Canis lupus familiaris: one gene and its partners. The protein of the gene in region 2 purifies or fractionates together with the protein of the main gene of each other region. This does not show direct contact. Links are inferred from orthologs where the notes say so. Each region holds a gene or a part of one and is shown on either strand. Other genes may lie near its edges.

Evidence for each region. The genes of interacting proteins can lie anywhere in the genome.
Region 1: the proteins of RC3H1 (region 2) and CNOT11 purify together in Homo sapiens (affinity purification with mass spectrometry, with the first as the bait; 4 studies listed by BioGRID). This does not show direct contact. The link is inferred for Canis lupus familiaris from reciprocal best matches to the Homo sapiens genes RC3H1 and CNOT11.
Region 3: the proteins of RC3H1 (region 2) and LARP1 purify together in Homo sapiens (affinity purification with mass spectrometry, with the first as the bait; 3 studies listed by BioGRID). This does not show direct contact. The link is inferred for Canis lupus familiaris from reciprocal best matches to the Homo sapiens genes RC3H1 and LARP1.
Region 4: the proteins of RC3H1 (region 2) and CNOT7 purify together in Homo sapiens (affinity purification with mass spectrometry; 5 studies listed by BioGRID, with this or other methods). This does not show direct contact. The link is inferred for Canis lupus familiaris from reciprocal best matches to the Homo sapiens genes RC3H1 and CNOT7.

What each region holds. Positions count from the first base shown.
Region 1 is NC_049231.1:42,715,581-42,720,384, reverse strand, and holds part of CNOT11 (CCR4-NOT transcription complex subunit 11), read left to right. Parts: intron 1-843; coding exon 844-1,008; intron 1,009-4,804. UniProt on the Homo sapiens protein: Component of the CCR4-NOT complex which is one of the major cellular mRNA deadenylases and is linked to various cellular processes including bulk mRNA degradation, miRNA-mediated repression, translational repression during translational initiation and general transcription regulation.
Region 2 is NC_049228.1:25,199,203-25,204,006, forward strand, and holds part of RC3H1 (roquin-1), read left to right. Parts: intron 1-588; coding exon 589-759; intron 760-1,685; coding exon 1,686-1,801; intron 1,802-3,000; coding exon 3,001-3,154; 3' UTR 3,155-4,804. UniProt on the Homo sapiens protein: Post-transcriptional repressor of mRNAs containing a conserved stem loop motif, called constitutive decay element (CDE), which is often located in the 3'-UTR, as in HMGXB3, ICOS, IER3, NFKBID, NFKBIZ, PPP1R10, TNF, TNFRSF4 and in many more mRNAs.
Region 3 is NC_049225.1:55,867,563-55,872,366, reverse strand, and holds part of LARP1 (la-related protein 1), read left to right. Parts: intron 1-67; coding exon 68-460; intron 461-1,673; coding exon 1,674-1,797; intron 1,798-1,938; coding exon 1,939-2,144; intron 2,145-2,597; coding exon 2,598-2,704; intron 2,705-3,303; coding exon 3,304-3,455; intron 3,456-4,804. UniProt on the Homo sapiens protein: RNA-binding protein that regulates the translation of specific target mRNA species downstream of the mTORC1 complex, in function of growth signals and nutrient availability.
Region 4 is NC_049237.1:41,448,459-41,453,262, reverse strand, and holds part of CNOT7 (CCR4-NOT transcription complex subunit 7), read left to right. Parts: intron 1-1,531; coding exon 1,532-1,725; intron 1,726-4,804. UniProt on the Homo sapiens protein: Has 3'-5' poly(A) exoribonuclease activity for synthetic poly(A) RNA substrate. Its function seems to be partially redundant with that of CNOT8.

The DNA.
Region 1 (4,804 bases), on a different chromosome or scaffold from region 2:
GATGTTCTGAAATCAGCAGTCTGAGAACCTGGGAGATTTTGTGTAACTGGAGTGTAGGATGTGTGGGTTGGAGGGGAGTTCGAGAGATGAGATTAGGAAAGTGGGTCAGAACTAGATTATGATCTCATGGTGCAGAATTTGGGGTTTAATTCTGTGTAAACAGGTTAAGTAATGTGAGATTCGTACCTAGAAATATAACTTAAGTGGTAAGTGGGAGTGTGGACTGTGGGTGATAGGTGGGCAGGAGTCCAAACTCGGAGCTGGGAAAGTGAGGAAGGCTGTCCTGGAGTCTAGACAAGAAAGGAGGGGAGATGAAGATGAGGGGAACAGAGTCTGGCAACAGTGCTGCTGTGGGACAGATGAGGCTTGTTGAGCAACGGAACGTGACAGACAGGAACAGCAGTCAGCACTGGGGGATTTTTGTGGCTGTACTGTGCACTGAAGCAGGTGTGACATGTGTACCTGTGCTGCTGATGCTCCTGGTCTCTTCAACTTGTACAGTTGCTCACAGAAGCAAGGGAGAAAAAGCATTTCTGAGCATTAGCTTTTTTTATTTGTTTTTGCTTGCATGTTTAAGCTTTAGCCTTTGCATGTTGGATACAGAGCTTTTAATAGTTAAAAATTTAAGTTTCATTTTTGATATTGCCACAAATCACAGAATTTCAAGTGGTATATTTAATTGCATTTTCATAAATGTATATATTTGGTTAACTGAAACTTAAATAATTTTGTCTTTAAAAATATGTGAGTGGAAATGGCAAGCAGCAAATGCTAATTTTACCAGAGTCAAGTTAATTTTTAAAAATAACCATTGGAGAAATTGTTATACATTTTTGTTTACAGGATTTTTACCTCCTATAACTCCACCAGAAAAGTTTTTTCTTTCCCAGCTAATGCTGGCACCCCCAAGAGAACTCTTCAAGAAGACACCTCGACAGATTGCATTGATGGACGTTGGAAACATGGGCCAGTCTGTGGATATTAGTGGGCTTCAGCTAGCCTTGGCTGGTAAGGAGCAATCAGTGGTTTGGGTATTCTTGTGTAGTAGCATTAGGCCCTTTTTTTTTTTTTTTTTTTTTTTTAAGGGTCCCCACTTAAAATGAAGGTCTTTGTAATTGTGCTAAAAGCTTCATAACTTCCATGAGAAATGTACCCTCAGTACTGGATCCTTGCTAATGTGGTATATAAATTCACTCTGAGTTTTCACTTGAATTGATTGCTTTTTCAATTTAAGAAGAATGCTGGATAAAATTTAGTAGGTTTAAAAAAAAAAGTGATCTGCAGATTCAATGCAATTTCTATTAAAATCTGAACAATATGTTTTGCAGACATGGAAAAACCCATTGTAAAATTCATACGGAATCCTAGGGGACCCTGAATAGCCCACATGGTTTCTCTTGGCACCCTTGTTGAAAATCATTCTACCTTATATGGAAGGGTTTATTTCAGGGTTCTCTATTCAGTGATCACTGCTTTGTCTGTCTGTATTTCACTTCACACATTTGCTTACAGTAGCTTTGTAGTAAGTTTTGAAGTCAGGATGTGTGAAAGTTCCCCTGTCCTGCTGTTTCAAGATTGCTTTGGCGCCTTCTGTGGGACGCATATAAATGAATGGGATCTCTTGAAGCAGAAGCCTGTTGTGATAGAAAATAGGAGCTTTCTTGACCTGGATGGTCAGAGCCTCTCTGAGTAGGGAAGATAGAAGAGGCACCTTTTGCTAGACTGCACTGAGAGTGATTGATTAGGGAAATTCTAATATATGGGCAAATTTGTGAACCCTTCACCTTGTGACTGAGTGAGCTGCAGTATTAATTTTGACAGTCCCCCATCCTTCTTACTAGACTTAATGCGTCTGTGACATTTGGTTTCTTATACAAGGTGACATCGTTCAATAAACTGCTTTTTCCTTGGAACATTCCGACCCTCACTTTTTAACTCCTGAGTATCACATTAGAACAATGTTTATTTTCTGAAATCGAGAAATCTTTTTAAGACTTTTAAGGTTGAAGGTATGCAGAAATGCTAATTCACTAGTGCTAGATATAATCTACTTACGGAAATAAAATATGATTATTTCTTGAAAGATTGTATGAGAGCTGGGTACAGAGGTGTGACAGGCAGTTTCAGTCATTTTACCTTCAGAAGGGATATATATATTCTGAGGGCTTTTGCTTTGTATTCAATAACGTGAGAATCAGGTCTGATCTCCCTTGCAACTTCGGATGACTTGAGTTCGACTGTGAGAAAGTTTTAAAGTATATCAAGCCCAGAAAGGAATATATGCTAGAGTTAGTCTCGAGAAAGCTTGGCAAAATGGCTAAACTTGCTGTCTCCTACCCAGATTGAAGATGTCCTAATCCATGCATTTTTACAAATATCAGGGGGAAAAAAAGTGCTACACTTATCTTCTCTGGAGCTGGCTACACACAAATTCACCTTTGCAGAGGCCTGCAATTCATGTCTTGCAGTAGGATCTATGGACCAGAGGTGTATTTATGGAGGATGCAGTTGCATTTTTTTTAACTTTAAATAAACAAGCAGACAAGTTATACAAAAGTAACTACAAGGGGCATTTTTTTTTTACCCTATTAACAATGTCAATATTTCAGAGGCTTTATTAAAAATTCCAGATAACCTGTACTTGTTATTTTACTACACATTGTGCCAATTTAAACATTTTTCCTATATTTTTGTCAAGAGTATGTTCATTTTCTGTACTTTAGCTAGCAATAGGAGAAAACAGCATCTTGGGATGATTTTAGTTAGAATTTTTCCTATTAAATGAATGAAGTTGAACATGTTATAGATACAAGGCATCTTTCATGTCTGACAGTTTTCCCACTGAATCCATGTTTGTTTGTTTTTTTTTTTATTAACACTGATAGCTCTTTAAGGAATCAGGAATTTAGCCCTGTCTTTTCAAAATTACAAAATCTGTCTCCCTCTGCCTATGTCTCTCTGTCTCTCTCTGTGTCTCTCACAAATAAATAAATAAGATCTTTTTTAAAAATTACAAAATCTGGGGATCCCTGCGTGGCTCAGCAGTTTAGCACCTGCCTTTGGCCCAGGGCGCGATCCTGGAGTCCCGGGATCGAGTCTCACGTCGGGCTCCCGGCATGGAGCCTGCTTCTCCCTCCTCCTGTGTCTCTGCCTCTCTCTCTCTATCATAAATCAATCAATCTTAAAAAAATTACAAAATCTGAAATATGTAGTTTCATAAAATCTGCATGTATTAAGGAATTATAAAGTGACCCTGGAGCAGCATCATCTAGGTTAAGAAATATGTTTCAGGACCTAGAGTCTCCTTGTGTGTTTCTCTTCCTAGCTGCTCCCCTTCTCCCCCATCACTAACCTCATTTTTGTGATAATCAGGATTTACTTTATCGCCCTCACCTTTATATATGCCTGTAGTTTAACTTTGGATGTTCTTCAACTTGAGATATATGTGGAAACATGTTGTGTTCTTTTGGGTGTTAATTGTAAAGTGAATCCATACTGATGAATTGTAGTGGTTGATTTTCATTGCTGTTGTGACATTCATACAATGGAATATCAAGTTCTCCATCCATTTTACTTTTTTTTTTCTTTTTTAAGACTTCACTCACTTACTCATGAGAGACACAGAGAGAGAGGCAAAGATACAGGCAGAGGGAGAAGCAGGCTCCATGCAGAGAGCCCGATGCGGGACTCGATCCTGGGCCTCCAGGATCATGATCTGAGCCGAAAGCGGGCGCCAAACCGCTGAGCCACCCAGGGATCCCCCCCATTTTACTATTAATGGACATAATGTTGCTATGTTCATTCTGGTAGTACATGTGAAAATATTTTTTCTAGGGAGATAAGCAAATGTAAAACTTCACTAGCTAGTGGCAGATTGTTTTCCAGAGTTGCTGTGCCATGTTTCATTCCCATTAGCAGTGTGCAAATTACCTGACATTCTCTGCATCTGATGATTTCAGGCTTAATTTTTGTCAGTCTGAAGGGTATGTAATAGTGTCTTGTGTTTTGACTGATCCCCACACCCCCACCAGTGAGGTTGAACTTTTTTTTTAAAGATTTTATTTATTCATGACAGAGAGGGGAGGGGGCAGAGACACAGGCAGCGGGGGGAAGCAGGCTCCGTGCAGGGAGCCTGATGTGGGACTCGATCCCAGGGTCTCCAGGGTCACATCCCAGGCTGAAGGCGGCGCTAAACCGCTGGACCACCGGGGCTGCCCTGAACATCTTTTCAAAGGTTTATTGGCCATTCAACCTTTTTTTTTTTTTTTTTTTTAAATTAAATGGTTGTTGAAGTCAGTCCATTTTTTTTTTAAGGCTTTTTTTTCCCCCCAAGATTTTGTTTATGAGAGAAAGAGAGAGAGGCAGAGACACCGGCAGAGGGAGAAGCAGGCTCCATGCAGGAAGCCTGATGTGGGACTTGATCCCAGGACCCCCAGGATCACAACCTGAGCCGAAGGCAGACGCTCAACCGTTGAGCCACCCAGGCGTCCCTGTTTTCATGTGTCTGTTGGTCATCTGTATATCTTTAGAGAACTGTCTGTTCTGATTTTCTGCCCATTTTTAAATCCTTTTTTTTTTTGGTGTTGTAGGAGTTATTTTGGATATTAACCTTTTACCATATACAGAATTTGTAATAGTTTCTCCCGTTCAGTATGTTTTCATTTTGTTAATGGTTTCCTTTGCTGTATGAAAGCAAGAGGGGAGAAGCAGATTCCCAGCTGAGTGCAGAGCCTGCCATGGGGCTCTATCCCAGGACCCTGGGATCATGACCTGAGCTGAAGTCCGACACTTAACCAACTGAGCC
Region 2 (4,804 bases):
TTACATTGGTCTAGAACTTCTTGCTGATTCCTGTTGTAAAAAAAAAAAATGCTGTGTTTGACTGTGTCCTTTGGTTGACTTTTTTAAAGATTCAGACCATTAACTCCATCAACTCTTATTCCTTATCATACTAATTCATGGTTTTTTGTCTAAGTTGAAATTTGTAGACCCATTTTCTGTTCCAAAAGGATAATCAGCATCAGTTGGAAGTTTGCCACATATTTAACTCAGTATGGTTAAAAGTCCTTGCCATTACTGAGGTTTCATTGAAATAAATCGCAGGATTTACTTCAGAAAATTGAATTTAAGAAAGAGGGGGAAAGATGTACATTTATACTTCTCTTTCAAATAAAGTAAGAGCAACTTCTACCTAATGTTAAATTACTGTTTACTAAGTTTAAATCACCTAGTTTTTCTTTTTTAATTCAGATGGCACTCAAAAGAGACAGTGCCTTATAGTTGCATCATTTCTATTGCACATATCTTCCTGATAAGCTACTTTAGGCAGTGGTCTGAGAATGGGCCTGGTCATCCCGTGCATGGTGTGAAATGTGTTGAGTTGTGTATGTGCTTGGCTTTATGCACTAGGCTGTTAGTAACAGGCTGGTGTTGCAGAGGGAGGTCAACACCCTGGCAGGCCAGTCACAGCCCCCACCACCAACTCCAAAATGGCCTGGGATGATTTCAAGTGAGCAATTGAGTTTGGAACTGCACCAGGTGGAAAGGGAAATCGGGAAGAGAACCCGGGAACTGAGTCTGGTGAGTGTTTGGTGGGAAAGGGGTGGGAACTAGAAGAGGTGAAAGGAAAGCTTTTGTGTAGTGATGTCTTAGAACTTGCAGCTCTAGAGCTCTAGAATCATCACCCCTAAGGCACTCCAGTGAGTGGTTAATACCTAGAATTATCATGAGGATGGGCTGCCTCCCTTTTTTATTCATTCCTCCTCTCATTCCCTTTTGATGTGAGTGTTCTTTGTCTTAGGATTCTGCATTATGAAAAACTTGCAGGGAAAACAAGGCAGTTAATTGGGTATTATTAAATTATTGTTAAACATACTGATTAGGGAAGCTGAGAGGGGATGATGTTATGATTTTGCAATACCATGATCTTAAAAAACTATGTGTTCACAAATAGCAGTCAGTTTTTATAGCCCTTTAGTTATTGAAGACCTGTTTTTTTATTACGAGGGAAATGCAGTCTGCACATTCCTTCCTGAGGAACTGTATCCGTGGAAATGCCTCCTAATGCACAAATACTGGTTTTGGGAAATTTTGGATTTGGGGGGAGTGAACCATTCCCCTAGGTTGCATGGTAATTGACTCTTTTGTTAAATAGTTATAAGTTCTTTCCAAGCAAATAAATGAGGTATTTCATTTTTTTGCTTTCAATAAGTATGTTATAGGTAGTGATTATATTTTTGCTTACCTTTTCTAAGTCATCAGTTTTTCTAACTTGGGGCATTCTCTCCCTTGTTTTCTAGCTTGGATAGTGAGCAGATGTACTCTCTTATTATCATGTATGTCTCTCTTTTAGGCTGCCCATTTCTTTGGTCATTTTATAAAAATGATTTATAAATATCATATAAAAATACGATTTTGGATTATCAATTTGTATTATCTATATTTGGTCTATTTCATTAGCACTGTTAAATAGAAGATAATTTAATTTACTTCCTTCTCTTCCAAAGGAGAACCAGTGTACTCTGGACATGAAAAGCAAATTGAATACAAGTAAACAAGCAGAAAATGGACAACCAGAACCACAAAATAAGGTTTCAGCTGAGGACCTTACATTGACATTCAGGTAAAGAAAGGGACATTTCATAGTCTTATATTATCCAATCCTGACAGAAGTTCCCTCATAAATATGATTTTTTTTTTTTAAATACCATTATTCAGGTGTGCCTGGGTGGCTCAGTCAGTTAAGCGTCTGCCTTCAGCTCATGTCATGATCCTGGGGTCCTGGGATCAAGCCCTGCATTGGGCTCCCTGCTCAGCTGAGAGTCTGCTTCTCCCTCCCTCTCTCTCTGCCTCTACATTCTGCTTGTGCCCTCTCTTCTCTCTCGCAAATAAATAAAATATCTTTTTTAAAAAATCATTCTGTATACATTGAGAAAATATTTTCACATAAATTTAGTTCTAAAACTTGTTTTTCTGAGTCATGAAACTTATTTACAGATCCAAGATTGTTAATATATAACAAATGAGTTTTTCTGGTTCCATTTCTTCTTTCTCCTATTTTTTATTTTATTTAAAACCAATTCAACATTTTGGTGTAGACCTTTCCAGTCCTTTTAAAGTGTGTGGATATGTAGCCTCTTTCAAATCCACCTTCCACCCTATCCCCCTAGTTTTTAATTCGGCCTATCCCACATCATCTAGAGGTGTGGAAAGGATATATGTCAGCTATGATTAAACAACCCCGCAAAAAACCGTATCACAGTCAATTCTTTGTTTGCATAGCTTTAATTATTTCCCTAGGTTATTGTGAAGTCATTTACTACAGAGTCCTGAGTTACCTTCCTGACGATTGTACAACAATAATTTCTAATGCTCTGTTGGTTTCAGGCTTAAGTTTTAGCTGTTTAAATCCATGCATTTGTCCTAAGTTCAGAATAATTTCTCATACGAGTAAGCCTGCTAAAGCTTAAAGGGGTCAGAACTTTTTCTTATTAAAGTCCTGTTAGTAAGTATTTAAAACTATGGGTCTTACAGTCTCTGGAAATGCTCAATTCTGCCATTGTAGTGTGAAAGCAGTCATAGACAATACATAAACAAATGGCAGGCTGTGTTTCAGTAAAACTGTACTTAGAAAAATAGGCACTGATTAGCCTTCGTTTGCCCACTTCTATAATAAAGCATGGGTATAGAACTGTAAACTAAAATTTAAAAGCTACTTGTGTATTTTTCCATACTCCTAAAAGAAAGACCCTATTGATTTTATTCTACTAATCATTTTTATCTCTCCTTATTTAATATTGTTGTTGTTTTTTTAATTAATAGTGATGTACCAAATGGCTCAGCTTTGACACAAGAGAATATCAGCCTCCTGTCAAACAAGACCAGCTCTCTGAACCTGTCAGAGGATCCCGAGGGAGGAGGTGACAACAATGACTCCCAGAGAGCCGGAGGAGTCACATCCACTTCTGCTCCCTAAATTATGAAGAGTTCGACTTTTATCTTTTGCTCCTGATCAATTTGTGGGGCATAGGGGTAGGAGAACAGATAACTTCTAAACTTTTTCTCTGAGAGTGGTCAGAGAAATCCAAGAAAAGTACCGGAGGCAATGTGCACAAATACCACTACTAAAAACAAACCCTGCACATAGTTCACATTAATGCATTTTTTAATTTAAAAAAAAAGAAAAAGAAAAAGAAAATTAGCAGTATCTGCAAGCAATTCAGATTAAATTTGTTTTTGTTCTGTGAATGAACTTTATTTTAATAACTTTGGACGCCTTGGATCCAGGGCTTTAAAAAAAAAGAAGATATTATATATACACTCTGTTTGATTAATTGTATGATCTTAATGAAGTAGGTTTTTCTTGTATTTTGGTATTATTACATACCCAGTGTATAATTCCTTATCCCCGATCCTTCCCAACTTTCACAACCCCATAAGTTAAAACAGACAGAAAGCACCGGACTGTCTGAGAATTCTGTGGTGCTTGAGAAACAAAGAGACAGTAGTAGACTAGTTATTAGAAAATGTGCAGCAAACCAACTTTTCCAAGAGCTCTTATTTGAAAGTCATAATTTTCTTTCCCTTTCTGGTTTCTGGCTTCATGTGTGTGTTTTTCATATGGCACTAAAACTTTTTGTTGTTCAGGTGGGTTTTGTTTCTTGTTTTTGTTTTTACTTCCACTTTTTCAGAGAGATAATTCCTAATTAATTTTTTGAAGTCCTCATTTCCATATTATGGATCCATTTCATTCTCTTGATGTAATCAGAAAGCCAGGCCAATATTGTAGGCTGTTCGATTAGTTTTAAATGGAGATTATTTTAAGAATGAACTGTAATTTATTAGTTAGTACTGAAAAATACATGGTTGGTATATTACCTGTACTGAGCTGATGGTTGGAAATTTGGAGTTGTGCTTTTCAAATTAAACTTTTGTTAAAATCATAAAATGTTTTTTAAAAACCCAGAAAACAAAAACCACTGGGAAAATCAACCATGTTTTAAAACTGCAACACTTGAATTGAAAATGAGCAGTCACATTATTTCTGTTGATGTTTTTGTTCTGTTTTACTGTCAGAACCCAAAAGTATAAAATAAAATTAAAGCCCCTGGTTTTCAAATAGATGAGTCAAATACAAACTGCCCAGTTCTTAAGGATAGTTTATAAATTAATAGTTGTTGTTCAGAATCATCGGCGCAAGTAGGCAGTTAAGTACCTAAAAGTTAGTTTTCATAGTGAAGAGATTCTTGATGAAAATGTTGAAAAGAATAAGAAATTTTAAAATTTAGTTCTGCTGCACATATTCTGATGCCATGTGTCTATACTGAGCTAAGACCCTATAAAACATGTTTAGGGGGGATTATTTGATATAGTCACCCTCCTCATTCCTATGTTTGCCTGATTTTTTAAAAATTTCCCTTTCTGGATTATACTACTACAACAGAAAGCACTGGTTATGTAATAAGTTACTGCATTGCTTTGGTTGGGTAAAAGCAAGAGTTTGTATTTTTCTTGTTTCTTATTTTCTTAACCCTTAACTCCTGCTGAGGTCATAACAACCTCAGTGTAAGCTCTATGTCCATCATACTGTTAACTGAAACAAATGGGGGGAGGGGGGAGGGAAATA
Region 3 (4,804 bases), on a different chromosome or scaffold from region 2:
AGCTACAGACACTGACCCAAGGACACCCTGGTGATCCCGCGACGCCCCTTGATCTTCTCCATTTTAGAAGTCAGAGGAGCCCAGGTTCCTCCACCCGACTTCTCTGCCTCAGCAGCTGCCCTCTCAGCAGCCGATGTCAAAGGAGCAGGATGAGCAAGAGGAACTAGATTTCCTGTTTGATGAGGAGATGGAGCAGATGGATGGGCGGAAGAACACCTTCACCGCCTGGTCTGACGAGGACTCTGACTATGAGATTGATGACCGGGATGTGAACAAGATCCTCATTGTCACCCAGACGCCACCTTACATGCGCCGGCACCCTGGGGGGGACCGCACAGGCAACCACACCTCACGTGCCAAGATGAGTGCAGAGCTGGCCAAGGTCATTAACGATGGGCTCTTCTACTACGAGCAGGACCTGTGGACAGAGAAGTTCGAACCTGAGTATTCCCAGATCAAGGTGAGGCTGGGACATAGCCTTGGGGGTGGAGCCTGGGGTGTTTGCAACACGTGGAAAAGAGGAAGGCTAATTTGGGCACAGAGCCTTAGTATCCTTGTGTTTGAAAAGGGAGTAGTAATGGACACCATGCTGGGGCATTAAGTGAGAAGAGATGTAGGGGGAGAGGTGAGCACTGTGCCCCCTGAATGCCCATGTTTAATGTCCTAACAATCAGCCAGACACACTTAAAAGCTTACCTTTAAAATAATAGCTTTTGGGCAGCTCAGGTGGCTCAGCGGTTTGGCACGACCTTCGGCCCGGGGCGTGATCCTGGGGACCCGGGATCGAGTCCCGCGTCGAGCTCCCTGCAAGGCGCCTGCTTCTCCCTTTGCCTGTGTCTCTGCCTCTCTCTCTCTCCTTTCTGTGTATTCTCATGAATAAATAAAAATATTTTTAAAATAAATAAATACAATAAAGCTTCTGGGGCACCTGGGTAGCTCAGAGGATGAGTGTCTGCCTTTGACTCGGGTCGTGATCTCAGGGTCCTGGGATTGAGTCCCACATTGGGCTCCCTTTGGGGAGCCTCCTTCTACCTCTGCCTGTGTCTCTGCCTTTCTCTATGTCTCTCATGAATAAATAAAATCTTTAAAAAAATAAAATAATAGCTTTTGGGTGCCTGTGTGGCATAATTGGTTAAGCGGCTGCCTTCAGCTCCGGTCATGATCCTGGGGGCCTAGAATTGAGTCCCATGTTGGGCTCCCTGCTCAATGAGGAGTCGGCTTCTCCCTCTACCTCTACCTCTTTGTCTTGCTTGAGCTCTTTCTCTCACTTTCTCTCTCAAATAAAGAAAATCTTTATGCATATATATATATATATATATATATATATTTATATATATATATATAAACTAAAAAATCACTGCTGCCTGGAAACAGTCAAAACTTACAGTTTTTACAGAGTAGCTTTGTGAGGTGAGCCTGTGTAAGTAGTGAGCAGCAGGGTGTTCGGTGGAGGTGAAGACAGTGTCAGGAGGAGAATCGGGTCTGCAGGAAGCTGCCCAGGTAACTGGGGTTGGGGAATGGTGATGAGGTAGCTGAGAGCCTGGGGACCAGATTTCCATGTATGTGGATGTGGGAGCTGCCCCCTGCAACTTCCTGCACTTCTTGATTCCTAAACAGGCTGGGGCAGTCTTCTTACTAACATCATCTCTCCGCCCATCTTGTTTCCTCTGCAGCAAGAAGTCGAGAACTTCAAGAAGGTCAACATGATCAGCCGGGAGCAGTTTGACACACTAACCCCAGAGCCCCCCGTGGATCCCAACCAGGAGGTCCCTCCTGGGCCACCCCGCTTCCAGCAAGGTGAGAGACAGGTGGTATCTGGGACCCTGGGTGGGTGTGGGATCCTGGGTGGGTGGGAGAGTACAACCCTCAGACAGGGGCCTCCCAGGTATAGTCAGTCACAGGCCTACCACTGCTCACTGACCTGCTCTCCCTCTGCAGTCCCCACTGATGCCCTGGCCAACAAATTGTTTGGTGCTCCTGAGCCTTCTACCATTGCCCGTTCTCTACCAACCACTGTCCCAGAGTCACCAAACTACCGCAATGCCAGGACCCCCCGTACTCCCCGGACACCACAGCTCAAAGATTCAAGTCAGACATCACGGTTTTATCCAGTAGTGAAAGAAGGACGGACGCTAGATGCCAAGGTGAGGTGCTCCTGCTGAGTGGCTGAGAGTCTTGGGCTCACTTAAATGCATTCCAGTGCTTTACTGTCCTCCCTAGCCTAAGCCAAGGAACTGCCAAATCCCAGAACTGCTCTTTGTTCTTAGGCTGGTGGGCCCACCTGGGATGGAGTGGCCACATCTGAAAAAGGGACTGGGTATGGCAGTGGTGGCCCCGTGTCTCCATGATAAGGCCCAAGGAGGATCAACCAGGGGTGGGTCCTTAGGCTCCCAAGCCACGATGTCCTCACCTGTGAGATAGGCATACCAGTTTCTGGCTCACAGCCGTGGACTTCATATGTGAGAGACTAGATATGAAAATGCTTTTTAAATTGTGAAGTAACGCATACATGAGGGGATCTTAGTTCAACAAATGCTTGGTGCTCCTCTGAGTTCCATGAGTACAATTAATAACAAATTCTGGACTGACCTTTGCAGATGCCTCGGAAAAGGAAGACAAGACACAGCTCAAACCCACCCCTGGAGAGTCATGTGGGCTGGGTGATGGATTCCCGAGAGCACAGGCCCCGGACTGCTTCCATCAGGTGCCAGCACAGTGGAGAGATGATGGCAGGGTGGGCGGGAAAGCCAGGCAGTTGATGGGACCAAGAAGAAGGAATCTCTTTCGTCTGTAAATTAAAGAAAATTGAAGAAAGGGACTCTTAACCTAAATCGGAAAATTTGGAGCAGTCTAGAGAATGTAATTCAGGGCCTTGGAAGGTTTTCCCCAAGGAAAAGTGGCACAGACTGAGAATAGGCGTGGTTTTAAAGAAAAACATAGATGGGCTACCCCATAATAGCTAATCAGAGAAAGTTAAATGTGAACTCGGGATGATTAAATGCTTAAAAGCTCAGGTTTGGACACTGTGCTAATCTGGGATGTTAAAGGGTCCATGACCAGGATAAGTCTCCCAGGCTCTGTGAGCCTCAGTGACTGCTTTGTAAAAACCCACCAAAGATTGATGCAAAGAGTGATTTGGCCTGAAGGCTGTATGTTAAGGGCCTACCATGGTATTTAGGTCTCTTTGTTGCCCTAGGAGAGGCTAGATCTTGGCTGATAGGAAGGGACCTGAGGGACCCCTCCTCACCTGATGGGCAGCTGCTCCAGAGAACCTGATGACACTCTCTCTCTCCTGGCCTTTAGCTCCAGCCCCTCAGAAGGGACACCTGCAGTTGGCAGCTATGGCTGTACCCCTCAGTCTCTGCCCAAGTTTCAGCATCCTTCCCATGAGCTGCTTAAGGAAAATGGCTTCACACAACACGTCTACCACAAGTATCGTAGGCGCTGCCTTAACGGTAAGAAGCAGAGGGGCCTCACCTCTGAGGTCCAGACTGTAAGGGCTGGTGGAGCAAGTGGTTCTGCTTTCTCTGACCTTAGGGCAAAAAGAATAGGAGTTAGACTCAGGCAAGTAGTTTTTGAATACAGAAGGCTGAAAGAATCTAATAATCAGAATATTTTTGTTCTTTGATCTTCTATTGATAATAAAAAATAGAAAAGTTTACCTATTTCTAGCATGACTGCCAAGTCAGCTATTGTCCACTGTGGTCCACTGTTGATCATAAAAGAGTATGCATGGGGCAGCATAGATTTCTCTAGAAACAGGGGTGGCTTAACCATGGCCTCTGGACCAAATCCAGCCAGCTTCCTATTTTTGTACAGCCCTTGAGCAAGGAAGAGTTTTACATTTCTAAGGGGTTATGAAGGGAAAAAAGAAAAACTTATGACTGAGACCATATGTAGCTTATGAAACCTAAAATACTCTGGTCTTTTTTTTTTTTTTTTATAAACTTTATTATTTTTTTTTAAATTTTTATTTATTTATGATAGTCACAGAATGAGAGAGAGGCACAGATACACAGGCAGAGGGAGAAGCAGGCTCCATGCACCGGGAGCCCGATGTGGGATTCGATCCCAGGTCTCCAGGATCGCGCCCTGGGCCAAAGGCAGGCGCCAAACCGCTGCGCCACCCAGGGATCCCTACTCTGGTCTTTTATAGAAAAAAGTTTGCTGGCCCCTGCTCTTAGAAGATGGTGTAAGGAAAGAACTCTCTAGATAATCTCATATATCTCTTTTTTATCACAAAATGAGATGTCTTTTCACTGTAGGTTTCTGTCCGGTTGGCTGTAAAGATGCTCGGAAGCAGTCTCAGTGCTCCCTTGTAGTTGTTACTGTTCATCGCTCTCCAGTCCTTTTCAGTTAGCAGCACATGGCTGTTAAATGCCTCGCTCATCTGCCTTACTTCCCTGTTTGTGTGTGATGACTGGTTTACTAGGATAGAATTCACATACCTTACAGTTGACCCATTCAAAGTGTGTGGTACAGTAGCTTTCAGTACATTCAGGAGTTGTGCATCTATCCCCAGAATCGATACTAGAACATGTTCATTACCACAGGGAGAAACCCAGTGCCCCTTACTGGTCATTTCCCATCTCTGCACCTGTGGCTTCTCCCAGGCCTGCACAACCACCAGTTTGTATGGATTTACCTGTTCTGGACTTTTCCTGTAAATCAGTCACGCAGTCAGCGCCCTTTGCAACTGGCTTCTTCCCTTAGCATATACTGTTTGTTCTTACACTTCATCTCTGCTGTAGCATGGTGCCACAACTTCATTCCTTTTCATGGCCAGGTAGCATTCCAGCATAGG
Region 4 (4,804 bases), on a different chromosome or scaffold from region 2:
TTGTGCAGAATTGGATGCTGTTGGGAAGCTGGGGTAATTCTGTGACAGGGTATCTTAATAAGTCTTAACTAGAATGAGAGAAGAATAGAGTGAGAATAAAGCTATAAAGAAGCAGCATTCACTTACATCAGCCAAGCTAGAAGGATGTTTGATCATTTTTGTGGTTAGAATAATGTTTATGTTTTTGTCTATGTTCAGTCATGATGACAGAGTGGTCTTGTCTGGTGATGAAGTATGAAACTGTTTATACTCAACAACAGATGAATGTTAGAACTTAGCTGTGAGTGCCAGGTCAGCTCCCAGCAACACTTAAGGTGTAACTGATAATACCAGATGAGCGCCCAAAAGCTAGGGAGCTTCTGCATGTCTTTTCAGAAACTCAGATCTCCCAGTAAAACTTTGTTGGTCTGCAATTTTTGTGTTGTTTTAATCATTGGAGTTGATGAACACACTGCTGTTAAGCATCTCTGCTTTTGCATATAGTATTCAATCTACCTCTACCGTCTATTCAGTTAATTATTTTGCTGCTTTACCTACTGTACCTTGTACATTTGTGGTAATTACCGTACTGTTTTCTAGATGTAAGCTCTGCAAGGCAAGGGGTTAGTGTCCTAGTCTACCTTTTCTCTCCCACAGCACACCTACCATAACACAAACATCCAGTGATGTGGTTGGTTGTTGAGTTGGACTGAATTTAGAGTTTTAATTTCTTTACCGTTTCATAGTGACTTGATATTCAGATTTTGTTCTTAGCTTCCCAGTTTGTTTTAAAATTAAAGTGATATATCATAGTATCATTTCCTCAATATTTTTAATGCAAATACATAAATGTGCTTCTGTGGGGAGAGGCAGGTTGAATGGTGAATATGTGAATATTTGAGTGTACCTAGATACCCTATTTAGTAAAGGTATACTTAACCCGTAATTAGAATTGAAGTATTTTTTCCTACAAAAATTTATAGTGATCATTTCTTAGATGATAAGGAGTGACATTAGAGATGTGATACTGTTTTACAGGAATAAGTGGGTATCATGCAATTTTTGATGATGTATAGATTATAGAGAGAGAACTATTTTACCCCAAGAAATGAAGAGGGTTTTGATGTTTAGACAGACTTTGTCTCAGAGAAATGATTGCAAAGCATGATGCATTTTCCATTCTTTTTAACCAGTTCCTTGGTTTTAACACTAGCATACTGTGAGCATAGTTTCACATACCCCTTGAGGAACATGAATTTATATTTTCCCCTCCCTTGGGAAGAGAATATTTGGTGCACTTATCATTTATTACTGATACTTAAAGTCATTAAGTTTAAGATAAGAAAGTCATTAAGTTTATTACAGTTTTATGCTTCTAAAAAGTGAAGTTCTTCATAGTTAAAAGGTAATTTGTATTTGAACATGAATGTGTAGAGCATTATCTATAATAGGATTATTTGACTTGAACTGAAAATTACATATTTATTCTAAGAATTTGTGAATTGTGGTTTTAATCATTTAGTAAATAATGAATCTTAAAACTATTTTACAGGACACCGAGTTTCCAGGTGTGGTTGCAAGACCTATTGGAGAATTCAGGAGCAATGCTGACTATCAGTACCAACTATTGCGATGTAATGTAGACTTGTTAAAGATAATTCAGCTAGGACTGACATTTATGAATGAGCAAGGAGAATATCCTCCAGGAACTTCAACTTGGCAGTTTAATTTTAAATTTAATTTGACGTAAGTGGGAAATAAATATAACCCAAACTTTTTTAGCTTAATTTTAAGAATTGATTTCCCTCACGGTGAAAAATGCTAACTGAATTTGGCACAGTTATCCTAGAGATACTTAAAACCTAATTTCAGAAGTTTAGATTTCTTCTTACGGGATGAAAGAACTAGGATAAAGAAGACTTTATATTCAAATACTTTGAATTTTGAAGATGTTGTTTGAAAAGTATGACTGCCACTTTTTTTGAAACCTGAAAAACTTTGGGTATTGAAATCACTTCTTGATAGAAAAAATAACCTTACGTTAGTTTTACTTTCAAACTTTGTTTGCAGTTTGAAATATATATATCTTTGTTGTAGTAATTATCCTTGTGAAGAGATTAATATATCTGACTCCAGTTTATGAGTAGATTACATGTCAGAGGCAGTAAGGCATTTCTTGGAAACTTGGGTGGATTTTCCTTTCAAGTCAATGTTACATAATAGTTACGTTTCCAATCAGCCCACAAAACCTCTTGTAACTTACATATATAGGAGAGGTAATGGTATCCTTGAACTTTATTTCTTTCAGATACAGTTCAGAATCTGAATTCTAAGTTAAGCTCATGGTTGATAGTTTAGGGAAGTTTAGAGTGTTTTTAAGTGAGGGCAGATTGTTTACAAACTGACTCTAAGGTGGGGAAATACTTAATATATTCTAAGTTACAATATTGCAGTGTCCTTTTATTTGACAGCTTGTACTTGTGTAATATCTTATATCTGGTTTAAAAAAATAGTAAAAGAAGCTGTGGCACAGTTAGCAGTAGTGCCAATGTAAGAACCTCAATAATGTGATATTTAGCATATAAGATCTAAAAAGCCAGGGCAGATGGTTTTAGAGAATAGTGTTATAGTACTGTGGCTTATAATTACATTGTATTTAGCCTCATTCTCTGTTTTACTTTGTTGGATTTCATAATGTATACTAGAATCTTGTAAAGATTCTGTACTCTCTATGTAAACTGGTAATAACCTTCTATAAGTACTACAGTACTGAAATACTGAAAAATGTCTTTTATCCTTTTCTCAAAAGAGAACCATTTTTAAAATTAGTTCTTCACCATTTCATTTGTTCCATGTTATTTTTTTCCCAAGTTGATCATTAGAACAATGTTTTTAAACTAAGATACTGTTGTGATATAAATACATGAGTAAAAGGGGACCCATCCATGTCTCCATTCTGGTAAAATTGACATTTTCCTTTGCTAGAAACATCTTTGTTATAGTAACAACTGCCTTATTATTATAATCTTTGAAAGACATTTTTTCTTATACAGAGAGGGCTACTTGTTACCAAGCTTTGCTACTATTTATACTAATGTTAATGTCCAAGAAGTTGTTTAAGGAGAAGGATATAGTAGAATGCACTATTTAAGTAGAAATGATTAATTGGAAGATAAAACTGGGACTACCTAATGTAGAGACAGTACGATGAATAGAATCTAGGTATTTTGAAGAAAGATGAAAATTGACTTTTTTCTTGAGTGCCCGGAATGTGTCAGCAACTGTGTTAGGCACCAGGGATAAATGTTGAGAAAAGTTGGTCATGGTTTATAACTTAATGTTCCTGTAACTTTTCTGTCTGCTTTCTATTGCCAAAGTCCAAAAATTAGAATTGTTAGATAACGATGAATGTATAGGAGTTCTCTCCAAACTGAATTTGGAATTGATAATGTAAAATGAAAATTGGAGTAGACTATTGAGGAGCTGTGCAAATTAAAACTATCAAAGGAGATGAGAACAAATTTCTAAAACATCAGTTTGATGATTGTAATAATTCTTAGTGTTTGAGGGAATCATTTTGATAGTGTAATAAAGGTTATAGGACATTGTGGGTTCAGTGGTAACTGAAAGGAAGCTGATAATCATTTAAGCAAAATGGCAGAGGAAAGAAATGGAGAATCATAAGTAGAAAGGACAGAATCAAACAGTGGGTGGTTTTGATTTTGTTTTTTGGGTCACGGACAGGCATTTGAAGGCTAAAGGGCACCTAAGTGTCAGGTATGGAGTTGCAGGCTATTTGTGTTGTCTTTCATATAGCCTTTGCAGATTTTTTGAGCACCTTATGTATTCTTGGTTTGAGTTCATTAAATATTAAGCTAGTTGACCATTCATACATTTGTGACAGTCTGTATTCTGGTTTGCCTTTTCTCATGATTTTTAGCAAAAACAAATATATAGCGTGTGTGTTTTAAAATGTAAATGTAAAATGTACAAACTATAAAATGTTTAACTTGTGTTTAAAAATGTGAATTTGTATAGTAGGCTGAGCTTATACTTATAGGTAGGTCGAAAAGTTGGGACGCCTGGTTGGCTCAGTTGATAGAGCATGCGACTCGATCTTGGGGTTGTGAGTTTAAGCCCCACGTTGGATGTGGAGCCTACTTGAAAAAAAAGTGAAAACATATTTCTTGAATTTAACATACTATTAAAGTTTGGTTGGTAATTTAACATACTATTAAAGTATGGTAGTAAAGTTAGGTTGGTTTCTGTTTTTAGGATATTATTTGAAATGAGCAGCCTTGTATATATCTGCTTTTTGGGAAAACCTTTTTTAGAGATTTGTACATGGCTTTCACTCCTGTTGGGTTATTATACCTGAATATTTTGCCACCTTAAACTTCAGTAGTTGATTAGTATTAAGAGCAGTCACTGCTGTTCTGAACAGATTGTTCTAATCAGTAAGTCAATCCCTACACCTGCAGCAATCCTTACATTTTGGACACAACAGTGTTTTCACTACTTTTTTGAGATTTGCATCCTCTAATATATTCCTGCATTTACTGAGATTTTTTTTTCCATTTACTAAGATTTTTGAGGGTGGGGAATGATTTGAAAACTTGAAATGGATTGGGAAATGGACAGTCTTGATTCGGAATTGAATTGTAACAATTTTGGAGTTTTCCTTACCAGCAGGAAATTTTCTTCATCCTATTTAGAGATTTATTAGCCTACCTGTATAGAGCTTTCGGCTTTCTCTTCTAATGAGTTGGGCATTATAACGCATGGAATTGGTTCCAAATTTTAAAATATTTCCTCCAAAGAAATT